3 linked regions of the Diceros bicornis minor genome follow. The protein of the gene in region 2 interacts with the protein of the main gene of each other region in a biochemical or structural test. Links are inferred from orthologs where the notes say so. Each region holds a gene or a part of one and is shown on either strand. Other genes may lie near its edges.

What was found. The genes of interacting proteins can lie anywhere in the genome.
Region 1: the proteins of ABL1 (region 2) and DOK1 form a complex in vitro, tested with the Homo sapiens proteins (5 studies listed by BioGRID, with this or other methods). The link is inferred for Diceros bicornis minor from reciprocal best matches to the Homo sapiens genes ABL1 and DOK1.
Region 3: of the proteins of ABL1 (region 2) and ATR, one has a biochemical effect on the other in vitro, tested with the Homo sapiens proteins (2 studies listed by BioGRID, with this or other methods). The link is inferred for Diceros bicornis minor from reciprocal best matches to the Homo sapiens genes ABL1 and ATR.

What each region holds. Positions count from the first base shown.
Region 1 is NC_080751.1:14,465,149-14,472,312, reverse strand, and holds the start of DOK1 (docking protein 1), read left to right. Parts: upstream 1-4,120; 5' UTR 4,121-4,789; coding exon 4,790-4,849; intron 4,850-5,199; coding exon 5,200-5,499; intron 5,500-5,669; coding exon 5,670-5,763; intron 5,764-5,957; coding exon 5,958-6,142; intron 6,143-6,377; coding exon 6,378-7,164. Other genes in the region: LOXL3 (lysyl oxidase homolog 3), read right to left, coding at 260-423, 2,100-2,412. UniProt on the Homo sapiens protein: DOK proteins are enzymatically inert adaptor or scaffolding proteins. They provide a docking platform for the assembly of multimolecular signaling complexes. DOK1 appears to be a negative regulator of the insulin signaling pathway.
Region 2 is NC_080767.1:38,114,661-38,122,522, forward strand, and holds the start of ABL1 (tyrosine-protein kinase ABL1), read left to right. Parts: upstream 1-4,847; 5' UTR 4,848-4,848; coding exon 4,849-4,984; intron 4,985-7,862. Other genes in the region: umcharacterized LOC128092248 homolog, read left to right, coding at 4,140-4,238. UniProt on the Homo sapiens protein: Non-receptor tyrosine-protein kinase that plays a role in many key processes linked to cell growth and survival such as cytoskeleton remodeling in response to extracellular stimuli, cell motility and adhesion, receptor endocytosis, autophagy, DNA damage response and apoptosis.
Region 3 is NC_080741.1:11,310,586-11,318,279, forward strand, and holds the start of ATR (serine/threonine-protein kinase ATR), read left to right. Parts: upstream 1-4,650; 5' UTR 4,651-4,730; coding exon 4,731-4,789; intron 4,790-7,694. UniProt on the Homo sapiens protein: Serine/threonine protein kinase which activates checkpoint signaling upon genotoxic stresses such as ionizing radiation (IR), ultraviolet light (UV), or DNA replication stalling, thereby acting as a DNA damage sensor.

The DNA of each region.
Region 1 (7,164 bases), on a different chromosome or scaffold from region 2:
GTTGGAAAGGCTTGTGCCAGATTTAGTAACTTGAATGCTAATGCTAAAACAAACCCGGACTTTACAGTGTCTGGGACCTCTATCATTCGTCCTGTCTCCCCACCCCGCCAACCCTCCTACCAATCCAATTATCCCATGGAGCATATGAGATCCCCTACAATCTAGTATCTCCTCTAACCACATATAACCCCCTACCGCCTTCTCTGTCTGGCCATCCTGGGTGGTGTGTGTGTGCGTGTGTATTTTGTGAACTGCAGACCTCGATGACATTGAAATCTGAGAAGCCGGGGAGGCGCTGGTCCTTGCAGATGACCCCGGCATCCTCATCGTGGGTACAGTCACTGTTCCCCCAGCCCCGGGAGGCACATTCAGTCACACTCTTTTCAGTCCCACTGCAGCTCAGGTTGTCCAGCCAGATGCGGCCTGTGGAGGGGGAGATGAGGAGATAGAGAGGCTTGGGGAGGTAGGATGGGAGGAGTGATGGGGATGCTGGGGAGAGTGAGCATGGAGGCCTCACACCTGGCCATGATGATCCCATTTTTCTGGTAAGATAATGGGTGGGGACGAGACAGGGGACCCTGGAAGGGAATAGGAAAGGGAGCATAGAATTGATGGAGGGTTGGTGGTGGTCTGGGGATACTCAAGAATGTGGTAGCATGAACAGAAATCAAGGGTCAACACTAAAGTTCTGATGAGTGCTTACCCATTCAATGATAGCTACAATTAATCAAGTACCTATGTGTGTTAGGCACTCTGCTGTAGTATGTACATACATGATAATTCTTAGAACAGAGCTGCCAGGATGTATTATCACCATTTTATATAAAATTGGGGTTCAGAAAAATTAAGTAGCTTGCCTAAGACCTCACAGCCAATACATGGGGGGCTTAGGAGTTTGAGCCATTTGTGAGACTTGGAAATCTAAGATCCTTTCACCTCAGCCTCACATTCTCCCATGTGCCCACCCTATCTGTGCTGCCACATTACCCCTTGTTCTTCTCCTGCCTGGACCAAACTGAAATGAACAGCACTGACTTCCTCTCAGAATTGGGTGGACCCTCAAATGTTGTCTGTCCCAGACAATGTGCAGGGACCCCTCATGCATATCCTGATAGGACTTACCCAGCTTCTGCTGGGACACCTACCTCTCGCCTCCCTAGGCCACTGGAACCATCACAAAGTCCTTGTGACTCTTTATGACTTTCTCCCACCAGGTCTAATTCAGTCCTTTGATGCCATCCAGAAAAATCCCTCAGCCAAAGGACTGTCCTCATATTTGAAGACAACCATCATGTAATTGCTATCCAAAGCTTTTTCTTTTAATGCCAAACATCCTTGTTTCTTCAGCTATTCTCCCTTGAAACTTGGCTTCTAATCTTTCACCTCTGGGCAGCTCTCCTCTGAAAGTATTTCCATTTTCTACTCTCTCTCTTAAAATGCGGGCTCTACAAGTGACACTTTATTCCAGAAGTGGTCTAGCCAGTGGGAATTGAGAATCAGCTGCAGACTGCACCAGCTTCTGTCCATCAATCCCATTGTGGGCTCATACAGTGCAAGCACTCCCAGGTCTCAGTTTGACTTGCTCGTAAGTCCCTACTACCCACATTCATGCTCGTTCTAGAGTTTATACTTGGCCTTAGTCAGTTCCAGCTTGTTGGTTTCAGCTGTGGCCTATACTCCGATTTTGTCAGCTGCAGTATCTGTGATCCCTTCTGGCTTTGGGACATCCAGACATCATTTACCTGCTCTCAGCTTCCCATGAAACCCACCAGCTATACTTTAATCATACAGGGCTCCCCTGTATCAGGGCTGTCCTTGCACGTGGCTTTGTAGAATCATACTTTTGCAGCAGAAAGGAACTTAGAGATGATCTAGTCATTTTGCACACGGGGCATCTGAGGCTCAGAAAAGGCATTGGCCAGCCTAAGGTCACACAGCTCTGAGATGTGACTATGTTGGTTGGTTTGTCACCCTTGGGTTTACTTGACATTGGCTGTTCTTGGTGTCCTGTGTACCTGTGGCTGTGCCATCCTGGTGTTCCCTCTTCCTGCACTTAGGCACCTAGGCAATATCTAGGCTATTCCTGGAGCATTGCTCACCTGTTCCAGGGCCATATTTGGCACTGTGGGTCCAGCCTGTGGCCTCTGTGAAGCCCAGCTCTCGGCAGAGGACGTGGGCAGCCTGCAGCGTGAAGTCGTCATCGCAGATGGTGCCCCATTCCCCAGCTCGCTGTATCTCCACGCGGCCCTCGAAGGGCTTCCTGGGGAAGCCGGCCAGCCGGAAGCGCAGCCCCTGGCTTTCGGCCCTCTTCTCAGGGGCCATGGATGGGGACGGAGATCCTAGGCACGAGCTGCACAGCAGGCACAGCAACAGCCCCCACGGGTTCCACTGCCAGACACTGACAGGTTGCATGGCAGGGAAGGCCTGGGTGCCCCAGAGAGAGAGAAGGAAAGAGAAACTGAGATTGAGCCAGGCCCAGGTCCAAGAGAGAGGTCATGAGAGGAACAGAGACACTGAGGAAGACCAGAGACAGAAAGACAGTGCAAGAGAGAGAGGGACCCAGGGACTAAGAGAGACAGTGAGAGAGAAACATACACTAAATAAGTCTGAAACACTGAGTCAAAGAGGCGCAGACTGAGACCCAGATTGGGGAAAAGGGAGAGAGAGACAGACAGAGACATAGAGAGAGAGGCTCTCCCTCCCTTTGGTAAAAAGTAAAACTCTCACTATTAGTTGTTATGCCTTCCAATGTCCTTCCCTAGTTCTGCCATCATCGCCTCCATTACCCCCACTCACTGATCTAAGAGACCCAGAGATCAAAAGACAGTGATTAGAGACCAAGAGTCAAAGAATGGTCAAGATAAAGAGATATGGAACAAGAGAAACACAGAGAGGAAGACCCAGACAGATAGGAGGTGAGAGGAAGGGAAACTGTGGGACTGAAAGGGGACCAAAGAGAAAGAGACAGCAGAGAGAAAGACAATGTTGAAGATGGATAAAAGGTGATTGGGAGAAAGCCGGGCACACAGGATTGGGGAGAAAAGGAGAGAGGCAGGCAACAGGTGAGGAGGACAGGGATTGACAGGAGCCAAGGAGCAGAAGTGGGAGGGACCCAGATGACCCCATTCAGCTAGTCAGACAGAGGACAGACAGCTACTGATTGTGGAGAAAGGCAGGCAAGGGGGTCTTAGGAAACCCTTGGATCTCCGGCCCCCTGAATGGGAGCCAAGCCCAGAGTCCTATCTGGGCAGATTCCAAGGCAGAGAGGGCAGAGATCAGAATACATGCAGAACCCGCTGCACACTCTACCCAGCACACAGGCTCTCACATGCCCTGGAGGGTCAAGGGGCCCAGGAGGGCCAGGCCTCAAGCTTGGCGGGGAGTGGGGGGTTGTCCAAGTCTCCTGCCAACACTGCCATCGCTGTCACTGGGCAACCGGAGGCCAGGGCGCCAATCGGCTCCTCAGCCAAGGCCTTCCCTCTGTCTGGGGCTGAGAACAGCCTCTCTACAGCAAGCCCCCCCACCCCCTACATGCTTCCCCCAACTCAGACAAACAACCCAACAGGACAGCTTTGTTCTGGGGACACTGTGGCTGGGGGGCCCAGGGGTAGGGCCTCACAAGAGGAGCCCCCAGCCTTAGGGTCCTCCCAGCTGCCCTATTTGGAACACTCTGCAGTCTCCTCCCCCCCCCCCCCAAATATCTGCTTCCTCTCTCCACTCTTCTTGTGTCTCGTTCTTCTTTGACAATAATAAAACCCTCAGTTGGTTGGCTTCCCCTCGACTCCATCCTACATCACCCTTTTCCCCTGGTCCCTGCACCATCCTCTCCATCCGCAACTCCCCTTCCTCCTGCCGGCAGCGCGACTCCCCCTACCTTTGGCTGAGCGGGGGCCCTAGGGGCTGGGAGAAGAATGCTGGTCCTGGAGATCAGTCCTAGGACTTTCAAAAAAAAAGTGCTCGGCCAGGGGAGACTGGACCCCCCCTCTCTCCTCCCTCTCCTTTAGTCCCTCCCACGTCCCCTTGAGCCCTCCCACATTCCGCCTTCTCCCTCGATTGCTCCCTGGCCAGTTCCCTCCTCTTTTCCTCTTAGTCCTCCCCTCCCCCGTGACGCTAGCCGTTGCCGCTCCACCTCCCCCCGCCCCGACCTTCCCGGAGTGCTCAATGAAGCTTTCTTTTCCCGCAGGTTGGAGGCCCGGCAGCTGCGGTCAGGAAGCTGGACACGCAAGAGGCCACCGGGCCGCGGACCGGCCCGGACGGCGGCCCCTGCAGCGGCTGGAGGCCGCGACTCGGCTCCGGGCTCCGGGAAGCCTTCCAGTCCCCAGCCCCTAGCCCTTTCTCCATGTCCCTGGGTCCGCGGAGTGTAAACAGCCCAACTCCGGCCAGGCTGGGGGCGGATCCGGTCAGGGGAACTGAGGCCATGAGGGCCCACGTGGCCCCTCCAGTGCCCCAGGGCGACCGTCACCATTTTCGAGGTGATGTCACGGCCTTCACTCTGATGTCACGTTGAGCATATGACATCGCACGCAGCCCCCAAGCCCAGGCGCCAGAGCCCTCTGGCCAAAACCGCGAGGTTTCTCTTGGTGGAGCCACTTGCGCGCGTCCTAGAGCTAAGGGCAGGGACCTGGAGGTGGACCCCCTCCCCTTCCTTCTTGCTCTTCTCCTTCCTGATCCTTCAAGGTCCGCAGGGGCCGGGGGAGGGGCGGCAACGCCTCCGGTGGGCCCGCCCCGCCCCGCCCCGCCCCGCCCGCAGCCCCGGGGCCAGGAAGTGCGAAAGGAACCGCCGCGGGCGATGGACGGGGCCGTGATGGAAGGGACGCTCTTTTTGCAGAGTCAGCGTTTCGGTACCAAGGTAGTCAGGGGCAAGGGTTGCCGAACCCCCTCAGAGCTAGGGGTGGGCGATAGAGCCCAGAAAGAGGGAGGAGGCGGGCAGCGGGTTGGAGCGCGGCGCCCGGAGCTGGAGAGCCCTGTGACGTTCCCGCGAGGTTGCTCTGCACACTCCGGGGAAGCGCCCGCCGGGCTCCGGGTACGCCCTCTCTGGTCGTGGGGAGACGGAGCGGCTTCCTCCTTGGGCGAGTTCGCCTCCCATCGGGAAGCCTCAGACCCAATATCGGCCAGCGCCGGTCTCTCTTTCCCCGTCGGTTCCCGGGCTGCCCGTGCTCGCCCGCCCCCTCCGCAGCGTCTCTCGCTCTCTCTCCGCAGAGGTGGAGGAAGACCTGGGCCGTGCTCTACCCAGCCAGCCCCCACGGCGTAGCGCGGCTCGAGTTCTTTGACCACAAGGGGTCGAGCTCTGGAGGGGGCCGAGGGGGCTCGCGCCGCCTGGACTGCAAGGTGATCCGTCTGGCGGAGTGTGTGAGCGTAGCCCCCGTGGCCGTGGAAAGCCCCCCTGAGCCTGGCGCCACTGCCTTCCGCCTGGACACCGCGCAGCGCTCCCACCTGCTGGCGGCCGACGCGCCGTCCAGCGCCGCCTGGGTGCAAACCTTGTGCCGCAACGCCTTTCCGGTGAGGGGGCCGGGACTGCCGGCGAGGGGCTCCTGCGAGCCGCACCGGGCCTAGAGGCGATGCGGGGGTGGGGGCAGTTACTGCGGCGGAGGAACTGGGTTGGCTCAGATCCTGGGAGCCGCGTTGAGGGAATTACAGGGTCTTCGATACTCTCTTTCTCTTTACCCCAGAAAGGCAGCTGGGCTCTGGCGCCTGCTGAGAACCCACCCAAGCTTTCTGCCCTGGAGATGCTGGAGAACTCCCTGTATAGCCCCACCTGGGAAGGTAGACGCCTGAGAAGCCCGGGCAGGGATGGGGTGGAAAGGAAGAGTGCCCTTGGGAAGGGGATAATTAGAGGGTCCAGGGACCCCTGGGGAAGTAGGAAGCTCCTGAGAGCTGGCTTCCAAGTGGGTGCTTGGACAATCTGCCCCATCCCCTAGTCCCGGCCAGGTGCCCGTCTAACTGTGTATTCCTTCCAGGATCCCAGTTCTGGGTAACCGTGCAGAGGACTGAAGCCGCTGAGCGCTGCGGCCTGCACGGCTCCTATGTGCTGAGGGTGGAGGCTGAGAGGCTCACTCTCCTGACCGCGGGGGCCCAGAGGCAGATACTAGAGCCACTCCTTTTCTGGCCTTACACTCTGTTGCGTCGCTATGGCAGGGACAAGGTGCGGGGGCTGTCAGGGAGGGCTGGCTTCCTAGGTCTGGGCAGCTGTGGGGGAGGTGGGGCAGGACAGGAAGGTGGAAAGCTCTGCCCTCTGGATAACCCTTCTTTGCCTAGCCCATGACCCCACCCTCTTCTCCAGGTAGTCTTTTCTTTGTAGATCCCCTAAGTAGTAGGGCCCTGTGACTCACCTCCTCTCATGGCTCCTGGTAATGTGTTTCTCTCCACATTCTCTTCAGGTCATGTTCTCTTTTGAGGCTGGCCGCCGCTGCCCCTCCGGCCCTGGAACCTTCACCTTCCAGACGGCACAGGGAAATGACATCTTTCAGGCAGTTGAGACTGCTATCCACCGGCAGAAGGCCCAAGGAAAGGCTGGTCAGGGGCAGGATGTTCTCAGAGCTGATTCCCATGAAGGAGAAGTGGCAGAGGGGAAGTTGACCTCCCCCCCTCAGGAGGTCCTGGGCAGCCCTCCAGCACTGTATGCTGAGCCCTTAGACTCCCTTCGTGTTCCTCCAGGCCCTTCCCAGGATTCCCTATACTCAGACCCCCTGGACAGCACCCCTGCTCAGACAAGGGAGGGGGCACAGTTAAAGAAACCTCTCTATTGGGACTTGTATGAGCATGCACACCAGCAGTTGCTGAAGGCCAAGCTGAAGGACCCCAAAGAAGACCCCATCTATGATGAACCTGAGGGCCTGGCCCCAGCTGCTCTCCGGAGCCTTTATGATCTGCCTCAAGAGCCCAAGGATGCATGGTGGTGCCAGGCCCGGGTGAAGGAGGAGGGCTACGAGCTCCCCTACAACCCTGCCACTGATGACTATGCTGTGCCACCCCCTCGGAGCACAAAGCCCCTCCCAGCTCCCAAGCCCCAGGGCCTGGCCTTCCCTGAAGCTGGAGCTGCAGCTGGCAGTGGCAGCAAAGGCCACAGCTCAGATGGTGCCCTGTACAGCCAGGTCCAGAAGAGTGGGGCCTCAGGGAGCTGGGACTGTGGGCTTTCTAGAGCAGGGACTGACGGGACTGGGGTCA
Region 2 (7,862 bases):
CCTCTAATTGAAGTACTAATGCATTAACTTTTGACTAATTCAGAGTTAAAAGACAAAAACAAGATGGTGAAGTTCTCACTGAGGAAGGCTAGAATTCCTAGGCATTGTTTTTCTGCTGACTAAAATGGTGCCCTGAGTTAGGTTTTGAGAAACATTCTTTTAAAGTCACTATATGAAAGTGCTCTTTTATTTCACATGTGGTGAACTATTTTTTTTTATAACTGTGGCATTAGCATTCTGTTCTTGTGTTCTGTGTACTACTTGGGAGCTCGGTACAGTTGAAGGAGGGCTTAGCAGATAGAAATTCTTTTGACAGAGGCCCTAACTACTCTGCTTGGGTCACCTAGTAAAATTTAAACCTAGGACAGTTTCAGTGGTAGTAACGTTGAACACTGCATTTGGTAGTTTTGAAATAACAGCTTGGCTCTTTTTCATTAAATGGTTTTTTGCTTTATAACATTACTCAGACAACTTTTTCTGTTTTTTCTCTCCCAAGTGTATCACTCGTTTTGAGGAGTTTGCAGACAACTGATTATTCTCTAGGCTATGTTGCAGCTTTAGGTTTGCTCACTTGTATTTTGGAGGCCCCATTTCAGGCTGTATGCCTCTTGAGAGAAGGGAATGGGAGAGGGAGGGAGCCTGAGTCCCTGGTTTGGTTTGGTCTCAACCAGGGCCGTGCATAGGTTCGTTGAAATTTTGTCCTTCTCTCCTGGTCTCCCAGGCTGCCAGCCTGTGCTGTTATTCTGTGTACCCTTGCAAGTGGAAATGTATCAAGGTCTGACAGCACCTTTGCTGATTGTCTACTTTCTGTGGCCCACTAGAGGGCACCCTTGTTGAGTTTAATTCCAGTTGGCGTTAAAAAAAAAAAAAGAAGGAATAAAGCTGCAATTTTTACATTGGTACTGAATCCCTGCAGCAACTTGTGGGTTGCTTTGCTTTATAAAAGGGAAGACAAAATTAGAGTGAACTCAATCACTTTTAATGAAAAGAATATATTAAACTTAAAGGGATTTATTCAGCATTTGGCAACATTTATTTACTTCTGTTAGGCATTTGCTGGGCTCTGGATTATAGTTTTTTAAGTCCTCAAAAGTATCACTCCACAGTGTTAAAGTATAACTGTGAAAAAGCATAGTGCATCTCTAGAAGAAAATATTACAGTGTGGGCTGGGGGTTCACCTACAACCAGAAAATGGTGGCAGTGGAAAATGGAGACTCGGGGTAAGCCTCAGATCAAGCACGGTTGGCTTCCACACTGACTTGCATGAAGCACAGTCTCAGTCTTTGTGGAAAAGGAAACAAGATCTCATTTGATCCTCATGATAACCTTGTAAAGTTAGCAGATATGACTCCCACTTACAAGTGAAGAAAGTGATTCAGAGAATTAAAGTGACTTGATGAAGCTCATTAGCAACTGAATCAGGAAAAGAAGTATCTTAAAGCAACCCTTCAGAGAATGTGTTGGACTGATTGTGAAAGGACATGGGTCCAGAAATTTTATTTCCGGCATTGAGTCTGATACTTTGGACTGTTAGTCATTTTGCTTATTGCCTGTCCCTCCCACTATGTATGCTCCAGGACAAGGATGAGCCCCCCGGCCCCATTGTATCCCAGCACCTAGAACAACGCTTGGCACACGGGCTCATTAATGCTTGTTGAATGAATGTTAGCTCAAGAAATGTTATTAGAGAGTTCTGACTCGATTGTCCAATTTTAAGCTAAACTAGAGAGTGAAGAACGATGTGTAGGTAATGATTAAAGCATGAATAGGAATGAAAAGAAAGCAAAATCTTCAAAGAGAAAAATTGGGGTGGTAATCAGGATAAGATAATGGGTAAATAAAGGGAACAGGGGCATTGAAGTTTGTAGAGTGATCTCCAAGTCAGGACCAGGTTTGTCAGCCAGATTATTGTGTGAGAGAGCAAAGCTAAACTAATTAACATCTGAATATAAATTCCAGTTTTAAATTTGGGCACGCATTTGCATATGCTTCACATTCAGTACCTCCAAGTGACTATTTCTTCTTGAAGCCAATGTCTATATAAAATCAGCACCATTCCCAATCCAGTAGAAATATTTCTAAGATACATAACTCAAGACAATAACTGAACCTAAGACACCTAGAATGTGGCTCTGGTTTTCTCCCTATCAGTAGCAACTTCTAAAAAATCAATGTCTAATGTTAGGTCAACAGTTATTTGATACAGAATGGTACAGTGGAAAACTGGGCTTTGGAGCAAGATCAACCCGGACTCCCAACTGTGTAGCTTTATCACATACTAGGCAAGTGACCTTGAGTAAGTCTAGTCTCTAAATCTGTTTGCCCATCTCTGTAATGGGGAATAATATTACATGCCCCATGGTTTAGAGTGAAGATTAAATGAGATAAAGTTTATGAAAAGCGTAAAAGTGCGTGGCGCAGAGTAGGCGCTGTCATAAGTGGATTCTCTTAGAAATGGGTATATCCGGGTGAGGGGCATCGCTCTGCGGAGACATGGAGAGTGAAGAATGGGAGACCGGGGTGCCTTTTAGTTGTAGAAGATGGGTTATGACAGGTGTGGGTTTGGTGTGCGTGGGTCATTGGCTAGCTCTGTAGGCCTGCTAAACCCAGTAATCTGGACATTGTCTTGGCTAACATAGAGGATGTTTTTATGTGAATACGTGTTCACCTGTGAAATGAGGTCGTTACATTGTAAAGATTCATTCTAGCTCAAATATCTGATTGCGCCTGGCTTACCCTCCGAGAGGTGCTTAACAAAAGCTGTTGCTTTAATGAGTGAGCCTCCCGTTATCCCAAAGAAACAATGAATTCGTTAGCAATATGTCGGATGCTTTCCAGTCGTTTATTTTTCGCTAGTTCTAATATTAATGCTTCTTGGGAAAAAGGTGGAAATTGGGGAGGCGAGGGACATGAAAGCACCAAATACCTTGGTTTCCAGGAGCGAGCCAAATTTTCTCCCCTACACAGGTTTAAGGAAGTAATCCAACTCCGGTTCTGGGAAAATCCAATCCGCAGTTTTCCCCTTGCTTTGGCTCCTCGCCGGTCTTACTACCCGCGCAGGGGAGACATTTGCCAGCCCTACGCGAGACCGCCGAAAGTCCACCGGCTCCGAGGAGGGCGGGACCGAAGCTCGGAAGCAGGGAGCAAGGGGCAAGAAGTCTCGGGTGCGCGCGGATAGAGGTGGGCGCCGCGGGACTACAACTCCCGGCACACCCCGCGGGGTGCGCCGAAAGCGGTTGGCTGGGAGCCCTAGCCCCACTGCCCTCGCCGGCCAATGGGACGCAGGAGAGACATCACACCCGGATTCTCGAGGACCAGTGGCAGTACAGGGGAGGCGGGTGCTTCCTTACCACTCACCTTGCGCTCGGAAAAACCGCATTTAAAAGGTCGTGCGGGGCCGGGCTCTGGCGGGTGGGGAGACCAGAGCCGGAAGGCGCGGCGGCGTGCCCGACAGCGGCGCCGGGAGGGCCCTGGTCCCCGAGAGGCACGCTCCAGACGTCGCCGGGGGCGGGGCCGGGGGCGGGGCCTGGCCTCGTTGTGGAGCGGCTCGTAATCCATCATGGCGGCCGCGGGGTTCGGTGTCCGTGTCTGACCAGCGCTGGAGCCGGAGCCGGTTCCCGGGTCCTGCGACTGAGGAGCCCCTCGGTTGTCCACGGCCCCTACCTGCGGGAGGAGGCTGGGCCCCGCGGCGGAGCTCGGGCGATGTGACTGCCTGGCGGCGGCGGCCGTGGCAACGTGCGGGGCCGGGGGAGGGGGTGTCTCGGGCAGAGACCCCCGGGCTCGGGGCAGCTGAGGCGGCCGAGCCTCCTCCCCCCTCCGTCCGCCTCCCGCCCTCCGGGCCGCGAGAGTCCTTCGTCCCTTACAGCCCTGCCCCGGCTCTGGGACACTGGGGTGGTCTCTGTTTCCCCCAGACCCGGGACACCCCGTTTCCTGAGGCGTGGAGGAGCGTCGCCCCCGAGTAAGCCGCCCGTGCCCCGCCCCGGCAGCCTCCCTCTTCCCCCCGAGCCGCCCCTCGCTCCGACTCCCGGCCCCAAGTGTGGCCTCGGAGCCCCCCATTCATATCCCCTCCCTGCTGTCAAGGGGCCTCGCCTTCCCCCCAGGTTGCTCCCGCGAGCTTCTAATGCCCTGACTTCTTCCAATGTCACCTACGACCCCCCTAGTCCCAGCTCAGCCAAAAACTTTAATGCAAACGAAAAGCTTGGACTGGTTTCACAGGCCTTTTAAAAAGCGGACTTAAAAGTTGCTGGCCATGCATTCCTCGTCCGAGCCGAGGGCCAGCTCTGGCTGAAGTCTGGGTGACCCGTGTCCCTTTCCGGAGAGCAGGGTAGAGAAGCGGGAGCGGCAGCTAGTTCGGCAGGAAATTTGACGGAAGATGAAGAAACTAAGATAGGGGGTGGGTGACTTCCACAGGAAGAGTTCTGGAGGAGCACCCCAAGACGATCGACATTTCCTTTACGTGTGGGAATCGAAGTGACTTGAGTATTACTGACCATTTTACAGCATCCTCTGTGAAGGTTTCCGTTTAGGTTTTTCTCCTTGAAAAGAAAAAAGCTGTTATTCAGCCAGTAAAAGACACTTAAAATCCAGAAACTTTTGGGTAGCATTGCAATTACATTACTTCAAATTGATAAACTGCGAAAATAATCGGAACTCCTGTTTACATGTGTCAACCTAAAAACTGCTTCCTTTTGTTATGGAAGATGTCTTTTGTGATTGACCTCAGTTACTGACTTGTGGAGAAGCGGTGAATGTGCAATCCGACGTATACACCGTTTTCCTTCTAAGCTCACTGACTGTTCTGAACGATCTTGAGCCCTCTTCTGGAAAGGGGTGTCTATCGTTACTTTATGGGGCAGCAGCCTGGAAAAGTTCTTGGGGACCAAAGAAGGCCAAGTTTGCCTGCCCTGCACTTTATCAAAGGAGCAGGGAAGAAGGAATCATCGAGGCATGGGGGTCCACACTGCAATGTTTTTGTGGAACATGGTGAGTGCTTTGCAAGCTTTCTGGTCGTGTTTTTCCCTTTGTATTCAGCTTAGGAACGCATATGGAACTTTTGAACAAGAGCACTTGTGTCAGTTCCTTGCATTTCTACTTAAAACTTCTGTTAACTATAGTTCTCTCCTAGTTTTTGGTGGAACTTTCTTTAACAAGAAGTTACTTGGTGACACTGTATGGCTTTCTTCAAAATCTGTTAGAGTTGCTTATTTCTCACCAGATTCCCCTTCTAACTCACTGTTGAAATGGACAAGCCATTTTGCTATTCCGGTTTCCTGAGGAGGTTGGGCTTAAGTGGTTTCTCAGGATCCATAGTCCATGGCTCTGGTCTAACCTAAGGCCTGGGCTCTTCCCTCGAGATGCATAGATGCTTTACTACTTTGTCTACAGAGAGCTTTTATTGTATACTCAAAGTGGTGTGTGCTCCCCAAAAGGTTAAGAACCACAGATCCTAGTTGACACTAATATCCTTGACCTTTTCCATCGTAAGTAGGACTTGAAAATACTCACTTTGGAGGTTTGTGGGAAAAATCAGGTGGGGAAGCAGCATTCCTCGTGCATTGAGGATACCCAACTTTTAGATATTTTACCTTACACAAAGAGTAATCCTCTCCCCATGTATGGAGCTTTCCTCCTCTTCTTTCCTGTTTCAGATGACATCTGGGGCAAGAAAGGTTGTCTTTGACATTTTTGTGAATATATTTGGCATTTGAGTGCTGGCAGTACATGTGATACTGTTCACTTCCAGTAATTCTGTGTGAAGTTTTAAAACTAAGGGTCAGCTTAGGCTGAGGTCTGTAACAGGGGCCCGCCCTGAACCAGTTAATCAGGGTCCTGTTTGTGCTGTTGCAGCCTGACGTTTTTCAGCCTGTGTACTTTATATGAAAATATCGATTGAGCCCACGCGCCCTATCAGCAAATGTAAGGTGTGTGTAAGTGGCATATACTGTACTTCGAAACTCGGTCACGAGTACCTCTTAACAATGGGTGACAACAATAAACAAAGGTCTCTGTTCAGTGAACTGGTGTTTCATAGTTGAGGTTTGACCTTACAGAAAAATATTCCCCTCATCTAAATAGTCTGGGTTCTTGGATTTTACTTTGCCTTGAAACATTAGTTATATTTTAGCATTGGTTTTGGACAGGCAAATGTGGTAATATGTTATAATGCTTCCCCAATTCTGGATTTATAAAGTAAATTACCATTTTTAACTAGTGATGCTCATGCAGCCTTAGATAGTGAAAATTGGTACCAACTTTTTGGAGAGCTTTGGTCGTATCTATCAGAATTTAAAATGTACGTACCCGTGACCCAGTAATCTTACTTCTAGGAAACTATCCTAGTATGGAAGAGTGTAGTCCCCTTGATGTCCTAGTACCCCTTCAGGGGGTCCAGGGGTTAAAACTGTTTTCATATTAATACAGTACTAAGATGTTATTTGCACTCTTTGCACTAATGGTGCAAAAGTAATGCAGACTCCTTAGCATGAATCAAGGCTGTGACATCTACTACGCTAGTGGCCGTTGTATTCTTCACGCCATGCACTCATAGTAAAGAAAAAAAATCGGGGCTGGTTCCGTGGCTTAGCGGTTAAGTGCGCGCTCTGCTACTGGCGGCCCGGTTTCGGATCCTGGGCGCGCACCGACGCACCGCTTCTCTGGCCATGCTGAGACCGCGTCCCACACACAGCAACTAGAAGGATGTGCAACTATGACATACAACTATCTACTGGGGCTTTGGGGGAAAAAAAGGAGGAGGATTGGCAATAGATGTTAGCTCAGGGCCGGTCTTCCTCAGCAAAAAGAGGAGGATTGGCATGGATGTTAGCTCAGGGCTGACCTTCCTCACAAAAAAAAAAAAAAGAAAGAAAGAAAATCGATTTTTACTTAAGAATGTCCTTGATGGCAGCAAAAATTATTAATTTTATTAACTCTTGACCCTTGTGTATATGTGTTTTGACTGTTCTGTGGGATAAAATGGGAAGTATGCATACGGCATTTCTGCTGCGTGCTGAGGTATAAGGGTTATTTCTAGGAAGGGTGCTTGGGTGGTTGTTTGAGATGCAAACTGAACTAGCCACTCTTTCATGGGCTACCATTTTCACTGCAAACTACAGCCGACGAACGATGGTTATTCAGACTAAAAAATGTATAAAGGAGTCTTTCATGGACAACAACGGTATTATCTGTTGTCAATGATAAAATTTTAGGTTTCCAGGGGAAATTAGGATTTTGGAAAACTTGTATTTGCTGCTGTGTTGGAGAGATTGGTGGTAATATTTGCAAATGTGATATTTTGATATAATGAAATGTATTATTTGGAAGATCTACATAATTCAGTGAACCGATATTTTCTAAATGATCAACACATGAAGTTGTAAAATCACACACAGGTAAAAGATCCGTTCAAGGTGCAAGGTGGACAGTGGATTTTAATGTGGCAATGCAAACGTTCATTGATACGGTTTTAGATTCTACATCACAACTAACCTTTAAGAAACTACCAAGTTTTGGTGTAGCTTCAAAGAAGAATAGTTACAATTATCTAAAAACAGCGGAGAAGTTATTTTCCAGTAATAATAAAATGTTTATTTTTAAATGAATAAATAATTTAAAATTTTCAGTTTAAATTTCTATATTGCAAATATTGATGAGATAACCTATATAAACAAAAGCCCTTTGAGGTCCTCAATAATTTGCAAGAGCGTAAAAGAGGTCCTGAGATAAAATTTGAGAACTGCTGCTGTAGAAAGTCGACGAAGAAGGCACAGGAGGATGTTGATTGCCGGCATACTGTCAAGTACTAACACCGAGAGACGGCCATGTAGTGGTAAGTGGAAAAAAGCAATTTGGAGATCAGTCTGCA
Region 3 (7,694 bases), on a different chromosome or scaffold from region 2:
AGCAGGGAATGGCATAATCATATCTAGGTTTTGAAAAGGTTGCTCCGTCTGCTGTGTAGAACTCCAAACAACATGAGCATCACCTAGGAGCAAATTTTTATAGATTATTAAAAATGCAAACTATTAACTAATAAATAATTTTTAAAAAGTATTTAAATGCAAATTATTGAGTATAACTGTACCAAGGAGGTGTACATTGAACCATTCAGGTATAGAAAGAAACTTATAAAATTGTTCATATTTTTTATCTCATTCCTTGAAGATTTCTATTTTAATCTATACTATAATGTGAATTATACAGTAAAATCCTCACGTAATACCATAAATGGGTAAAAAACATCCAATGCATTATGATGGAACTTGCAGAGCTAGGCAGCCAGGAGTTTGGGCATCTGACTGAGAACCAACTGCATCTTGGTCTCACTTGGGTTGTGGTGCCACCTGATGGTCATTTCCCATCCTAGTTTAATCAACAATGGGGACAATTCCATATACATGCTGTATGAAACTTCCAGGAGGACATTGGTTGGCGCCCCTTGGTTGACTTGATCTGGGACACTGGGGCTTAGGAAATACTAACGTCCCAAGGACACTGGGACCCACCTCAGCCTCTCTTCTTCCTGCCTCACTCTCCCTTCACACTCCACCACACCAAATGATAAAAGGGCAGGGGGCGGTGAGAGGAAGACAGGAACCAATCAACAGTTGTACTATGTCCAAATTTACATTATCATGAGTTATATGTATATTAAAATATAGTAATAAATATATATGGTTAATAAATAAATATGCACATATTAGGGTGCATACTTTTAAAATTTCAACAATATTGTTGAGTGAGCAAAAAAAGTTGGGGAATCTCGCAGTGAAGAGAATAGATTGGAGGGAAAAGCCCAAAGGAAGAGAGGCAACCTACAACACTGCTGAAGTAATCTGGGCAAGAGACAGTGATTATCTGAAACTAGAATGGTGGTAATAGGATTTGGAGGGAAGTGGATAGGTTTGATATTTAGGAGGTAGAATTGAGTCCTTACCATTTAAAGATATGAACTGAAGTATTTACAGAAAAATTGATATGATGTCTGGGATTTTCTTTAAAATAATCCAATTAGGGAGAGGGGCAATGGGAGGGGTGGTTATAGACGAAACAAAGAGCAGCCATATGCTGATTGGTGAAGCTGGGTGATGAGCATAAGGGGGTTCCTTATTTTATTCTCTCTACTTTTGTATATATTTGAAACTTTCCATAATAAAAAGTTAAACAAAAATAAAGTGCCTGGGAGAAATTCAAGGGAAAAAAAATCAGTAGGAAGGTAGACATATGAAATATAAAGCTCAGAGAGAGATCTGAGCAGAAGCAAAGAATTTGGGAGTGTCCAGCAGGTGGAAAGTTCATTGAAGCCTTAAGAGTGAATGAGGTCACCTAGGCATAAAAAAGAAAAAGGAAGCTAAGTTAGAATCCCGAGGAATACCAACAGTTAAGGGGATGGCAAAGGAAGTGTTGCTAACATGAGAATGAATCTTGTAGGCTAAAGGAAGTCAGTGTTCCAAGAAGGAGGCATTAGTCTATGTTGTCAAATGCTACTGAGAGGTCAAGAAAGGAAAGAACTGATAAGCATCTTTTGGATTTAGCCGTATGAAAATCATTGGTGACTTTGGTGAGAGGTGTTTAAGAGGGGGCGAACAGGGCAAAGAGTATGGTGTATGTAGGTTAGGACTGAGTGGTAGATGAGGAAATATAGTCAGCCTGTATGAAAAATTCAAAAAGTTTGGTGGAGGAGAGACGCATATGGCTACTGGAGGGAGGATATCTGCTTGGAATGACATCAATTGCTCCTTTATTGATACACTGCTAAAGAAGTTTGATTCTCTAAATGACCTACCACCTCCTTTTATTCTGTCCTGCACCTTCCTGCTAGATTTGAGTGTAGCTTTGACAGTGTCGCTCTTTATATAAAATCTTCCAGTGCCTCTCCATTGCTCACTGAGGTCTGTAGAAGCGTCTCAGTTGGACGACTCTAAATGTTTCCTAACACCAGCCAAACTGGACCACTCTTCTCTCCCTCAGTATGCTTTTTTTCATAGTGCTGCCTCTAGTTAGAATATAGTCCTTTCTCCAATCTTTGTCTCTTCAAGTCCTGCTCATCTTTCACATCTCATCTCAGATGTGGTGCCACATTCTCCTTGAGCCCCTTCCTGATCCACCTCCTTTCCACTGGAGTAGATATGATCTCTCCTTCCTCTATTTTTCTTTTTCTTTTTTTTTTGCTGAGGAAGACTCGCCCTGAGCTAACATCTGTTGCCAATCTTCCTCTATTTTGTACCTGGGTCATAGCCACAGCCCAGCCACTGGCAAGTGGTGTAGGTCCACGCCCAGGCCACCAAAGCGGAGCGCACAGAACTTAACCACTAGGCCACAGGGCCAGCCGCCTCCTCTATTTTTCCAGTGCATGCTGTTCATATCTCTCTTATGGCATTCATAGATGTTGCTTTGCTTTTAATTTTCTGGGTTCTTATCATACCCTTTCTACATCCAGATTGTATACTATTTGAAACTGTCTTACTCATTTTTGTGTCATAGAAGTACCTAACACAATACCTTGCACAAAAATCACTTTTTGAATTAAACTGGATTCGCAAAGCTCTATTGTTTCTAACATTTAGGGGTTTACACTGTGTTTTAGAATTACAATGCTATTCCGCTATTGCCTCCCATATAACATTGTAATTTTTACAATCTTTCTTCATATGATCTAAAAATAATACCTAACATTTGTTACTTTTTAGTTGATAAATTGTTTTTCACATGTGTTGTCTAACTTAAGCTTTAAAAAGCATATTTATTTTTTATACATTTTGGGATATCTTAACCATACAGATAAAAATAGTAATATGACATTCACCCAAATATAACAAATGTTAAATTTGTCATGATTAATTCAGATCCTATTAAAAGAAAACCCTCACAGATATGTTGAAACCTCATCATTTCATTTCCTTCTCTCTCTTTTCAGAGGTACAACTCTCCTGGCGTTGATGTACATCCTTCCCAACCATGTTTTTATACTTTTATCGTATATGAATGTATACATAACACACAAAGTCTTATTTTGTGGTTTTAAAATGGTATGTAAGTTATATAACAATATTATGTATCCCTTTGCAATTTGCTTTTTTCACTCAATATCGTTTTCAGGATTCATCCTTGTTGGCATGTGTTGTATATTTCATTCATCTTAACTAAGAAATGGTATTCTAATCTTTACCATAATCATGTGAGGCAGATATCATCAATCTCATTTTATAGATGAAAAAGCGAAGTCCGAGAGGTTAAGTAACTTTCCCGAGGTAATATCGTTTCTAGCAGATGGAATGAGAACTTGCGCAGGCCCTCTAACTCCTAATCTTACGTTCTTTCCACCTTGGCATTCAACTACTTAACAGATATTTACTGAACACCAACTATGTGCCAGGCACTGTTCTAGGTCCTGGGTATCTAAGCAGTGAAAAAAACAAAAAAGATCCTGCTCTCAAGGAGCTTACATTCTAATTGGAGGAGACAGTCGATAAAATAGTATGTAATACATCGCTTGCTTCCAAGTGCTATGAAGAAAAATAAAGCAGGATAGAGGGGAAAACACAGTGTGAGCGTGTGTGCAGGTCTACAGGAGGCTCTCCGGTGACATTTCAGCAAACGTCTGAAGAGGGGCGATGGGAGAGGGGTGTTCAAGGTCAAGGTAGAGGGTACACAGCAAATGCCAAATCCCTGAGGCAGGCGCATATTTGGCTGTCATTCCATCACTTTGATTTTTTTAGATACTGCATCCACAATTCTCCTCACGTGCCAAAGAACAAAGGTAAGCACACTGCACGGCTTTGCCTGATTAAATACATAATTTTTACACGTTAACAGTCTCTTATGATGGCCATCTTTCGAATAAGCAAATTGGGCTGAGCTAGAAAACGTCTACAGCCACAATGCATTGATTTACTTTAAAAATTAAATCGTCGGTGGTAGACGCCCGTAACGGTGACATTCAGTGTACTGCTGCTGATCTGATGAGACACACATAAATACAATTCAATCCCTTTTGAAATATTAAAGGTTAGGAGAATCCTCAAGGAAACCGAAGAGTGACTTCAAGTTGAAAAAAGCTGCTGAAACAGAAAGGACAGGGAGGATCCCACCTGCTGCCCCGCATCTCTCAGCAAGGATGCCAGGAGAGCGGTAGGAAAATGAGGAACCTGAGGGCCTTACGCCGTGGGGAGACCCGGCATCTAGTGGTGGCCTTGACTCGCTGAATCGTCTCAGTTCTCACACCTGTGATGCGACCGAGTCTGGGCTGGGGCCCGCCAAGCCCCTTTCTCCCCGAGATCCGCGGGACTCGCTTCGCTGAGCCTTCTAGGCTAGGAGGCACGGAGCGCAGCCGCTAAAACCCAAGCTCGGCGAACCCCGCCCCCCCAGCGCGCCGAGCTAACCCGGAACCCGCGCAGGGAAAGGTGGCCGCAGCGCGCGCCACCGGCTCGCCCCGCCCCTTTCTGCCTCCCGGCCTCCCCCGGGTCCTACGCGGAAACGAAATACCGCCTCCAGAGCGGGGCCGGCGGCGGCTTCCGGGAGGAGTTTTGGACCCCGCGAGTTCCCGTCGGGCGCCGCGGCTTCCCACCGGAGTAGCTGTGGAGACGCCGGCAGTCCGCATCGGCGTCGTTGACGAGTGCCGCGCGTCCTCAGCATGGGCGAGCATGGCCTGGAGCTGGCGTCCATGATCCCCGCCCTGCGGGAGCTGGGCAGGTAGGGCGAGCCCGGCAGTCCTGGATCCCAGGTCCTTCCCCGCCGGCCCGGCCGGCGTTTCACGTGCTCTCCGTCCCCTGCCGCGCGCGTCCGGGCTCCGATCCCCTCCGCCCCGGCCCCTGTGGAGATGCTCCGCGGCGGACCGGAGCGCTTCCCCTCAGAGGGGCGGTTCAGGTGACGCGGGGCGCCTCCAAGGACCTGCGGGAAGCCAGGCCGAGGGGAGGGAGGCGTCTGCCGGCCGCACTTTACCTCAGCGGCGCGAGGGCGCTCGTCCCCAGCCGGGGCTGCCCTCTGCAGCTGGGGGGAAGTGTCCCTTCGACCGCTTTTCTGGTCACTTGACTCCACTCACTCGCTTCTCGAAAGCCTCTCTCCTTTTAGATGAGGGACTTGACCCGTAGACATTCCCCAGTTTCTAGTCTTTAGGAGCGCTCGTGGAGGAATTGGGTTTTTAGCTTTATGTTTTGACCCAAACTGCCCTTAACAGAAAAAATCGCTGGTTCTGATTTTGTGTAAGGCAGGCCAGTTGCTCGAAAAGGTAGTTTCTATTTTCGAGGTGAAACCATAGGCCGTTCTGAAGATGGGACCCCTTCGGTATTGATCACCCGGTCGCCAATCCGTTATTTTAGTCAAAAGCCGGGGATCGGCCGCAACGTCCACAAAATGGAAAGTGCACAGGATGTTGCCAAAATCTGAAGACAATTTAATATTGTTTCACTTGCAAAAGCTTGTTTTCTGTAAATCCTAGAGTAACATCCTGTGAACCAGTGTCCTGCCGGAAGAGAGGGGAGAGTGTTGATGGCTCCTGTCCCCTTTAATCCACGCGGCCGTCCCTCAAACAGGCCTCGAGACTAGAAGGCAGGGGTTTTGTTTGTTTTTTTAATATTGTAACCCACTGTGAACAAGAAATAAGTGGGCTTGTACCACCACTGCACTGGAACTACCCATTGGAATAGCTGCTTTCCAGTTTCTTAAACTGTTGGAAAACTTAGCACAAACGAAGTCAAAACGGTGGTTAAGCCCCTGGGATATTTAATTGCCTTTCTACTCGCGGTGCAGTTGTGTTCACCTCCACTTGTTGGCCATACAAGGACGTTTAGTCTTCCTCAATTACGTAAATAAGGGGCTAAATGAAAAGACCATGCTTGTCTTAACTGAATCATCCTCTGTGTGTGTGTGAATTTTTCTTTGCATGCATGTTGCAAGCACACTTTGCGTTAACGTTTAGTCGGGTAACATCTAGCTTTCTAAAAGATGAATACAAGTGCTCATTTTAGTTAGTTGATGGACACATTTCGTTATTCAAGCTCAGCATGAAGCTCAGTGTGTTTTCCCTACTTTGCTTTCATGTAGAATTAACTGATTAATACTTCTCTTCCCTATTCTCTCTTCCTCTGTGAGACTTGTTAATAAAAATAATAGCATCTTGGATTTATTTACAGTCTCTTTCATAATAGAGCTTGTGTTACCTTTCATTTCATTCATTTGTAGCCATTCTAAGAGAAAGAATAGAAAAACTGATCCAAAGAGAAATGTCTAATACTAGTTTTTAATTGTCATGACTTTTTCATTGCAACTGCTTCATTCAAGCTTGTTCAATATCACGGTAGCTTCATGATATAGAATGAAGCAAATATTATCACTATTTGTTAAGAAACTGAGTCACAGAGATTGAGGAATCAAAGTCAGAGAGACAACAGTTATCGGAGCTAGACTTCAGAGTCATACCATCAAGGCCTCTTCTCCCCAATTTTTTTTCCTTAATTGACTACGACAATTAGATTTCGGAAAAAAGCGAAATGTCACTGTTCTAATGTGTGTGCTCCTCTTCCTCTGTCTCTCAGGGCTAAATTTTGCTCCTCTGTTGTTTGCTGTTAGCACTCTTTTCTCTGCAAAGTCTTTCTGGGTGATCTCATCCACTCTCCTGCCTTCACCTACCATCTGCTGTTTGACGACTCCAAGTGTGTTTCTCCAAACCATATCTATCTCCTGTAGCACTATAGAGAACTATATACTAGCAATTTTACCTGGGTGTTATATGTGCAGTTGAGATTCAGCATATCCAGTACAAATTCTCCACATATCCAAGTCTCCCCAAGCTTTTTTTTTTTTTAATTCTTCTCATTCACTGAGGTAGGGATATCTCAGTAAATGATACCATGTTCACTCATTTTTCCAAACCAGAAGTCTGGGAATCATTCTTGACTCTCTAAGTGCTTTGGGGCTATTTCCTTGGTCCTCTTTTCATCTTCACTCTCTTCCTAAGTAACTTTAGTCCCAGTGCTTTAAATATCATCAATATGCTGATAACTCCCAAATTTCTATCTCTAGCCCAGAGATATATGTTAGGTTGCTTACTTAACATCTACACCTGGAAATGAAAATTAACATATCCAAAGCAGGACTCCTGATTTACTGTCCTTAAACCTGTTCCTTCCCCAGGTTATTGTATATGTACCAACCAAAAGCATAGGAGTTAGCCCTGATTCTTTCTCTTATCCCTCAATCCATCAACAAGTCCTGTCAACCCTACCTTTAAAATACTCTTCTGGGGGCTGGCCCAGTGGCCTAAAGGTTAGGTTCTCGTGCTCTGCTTTGGCAGCCCGGGGTTCACAGGCCAGGATTCTGGGCGCGGACCGATGCATCACTTGTCAAGCCATGCTGTGGCGACGTCTCATGTAAAGTAGAGGAAGATGGACACGGTTGTTAGCCAAGGATCAATCTTTTCCTCAGCAAAAAGAGGAGGATTGGCAACGGATGTTAGCTCAGGGCTGATCTTCCTCACATGCACACAAAAAAATACACTTCTCACCATCTCTACTGCTATCACCATAATTTCTGATCTGGACTATTACAGTAACCTCTCAGCTGATCTCTCCATTTCCATTTTTACCCACTTACTACAGAT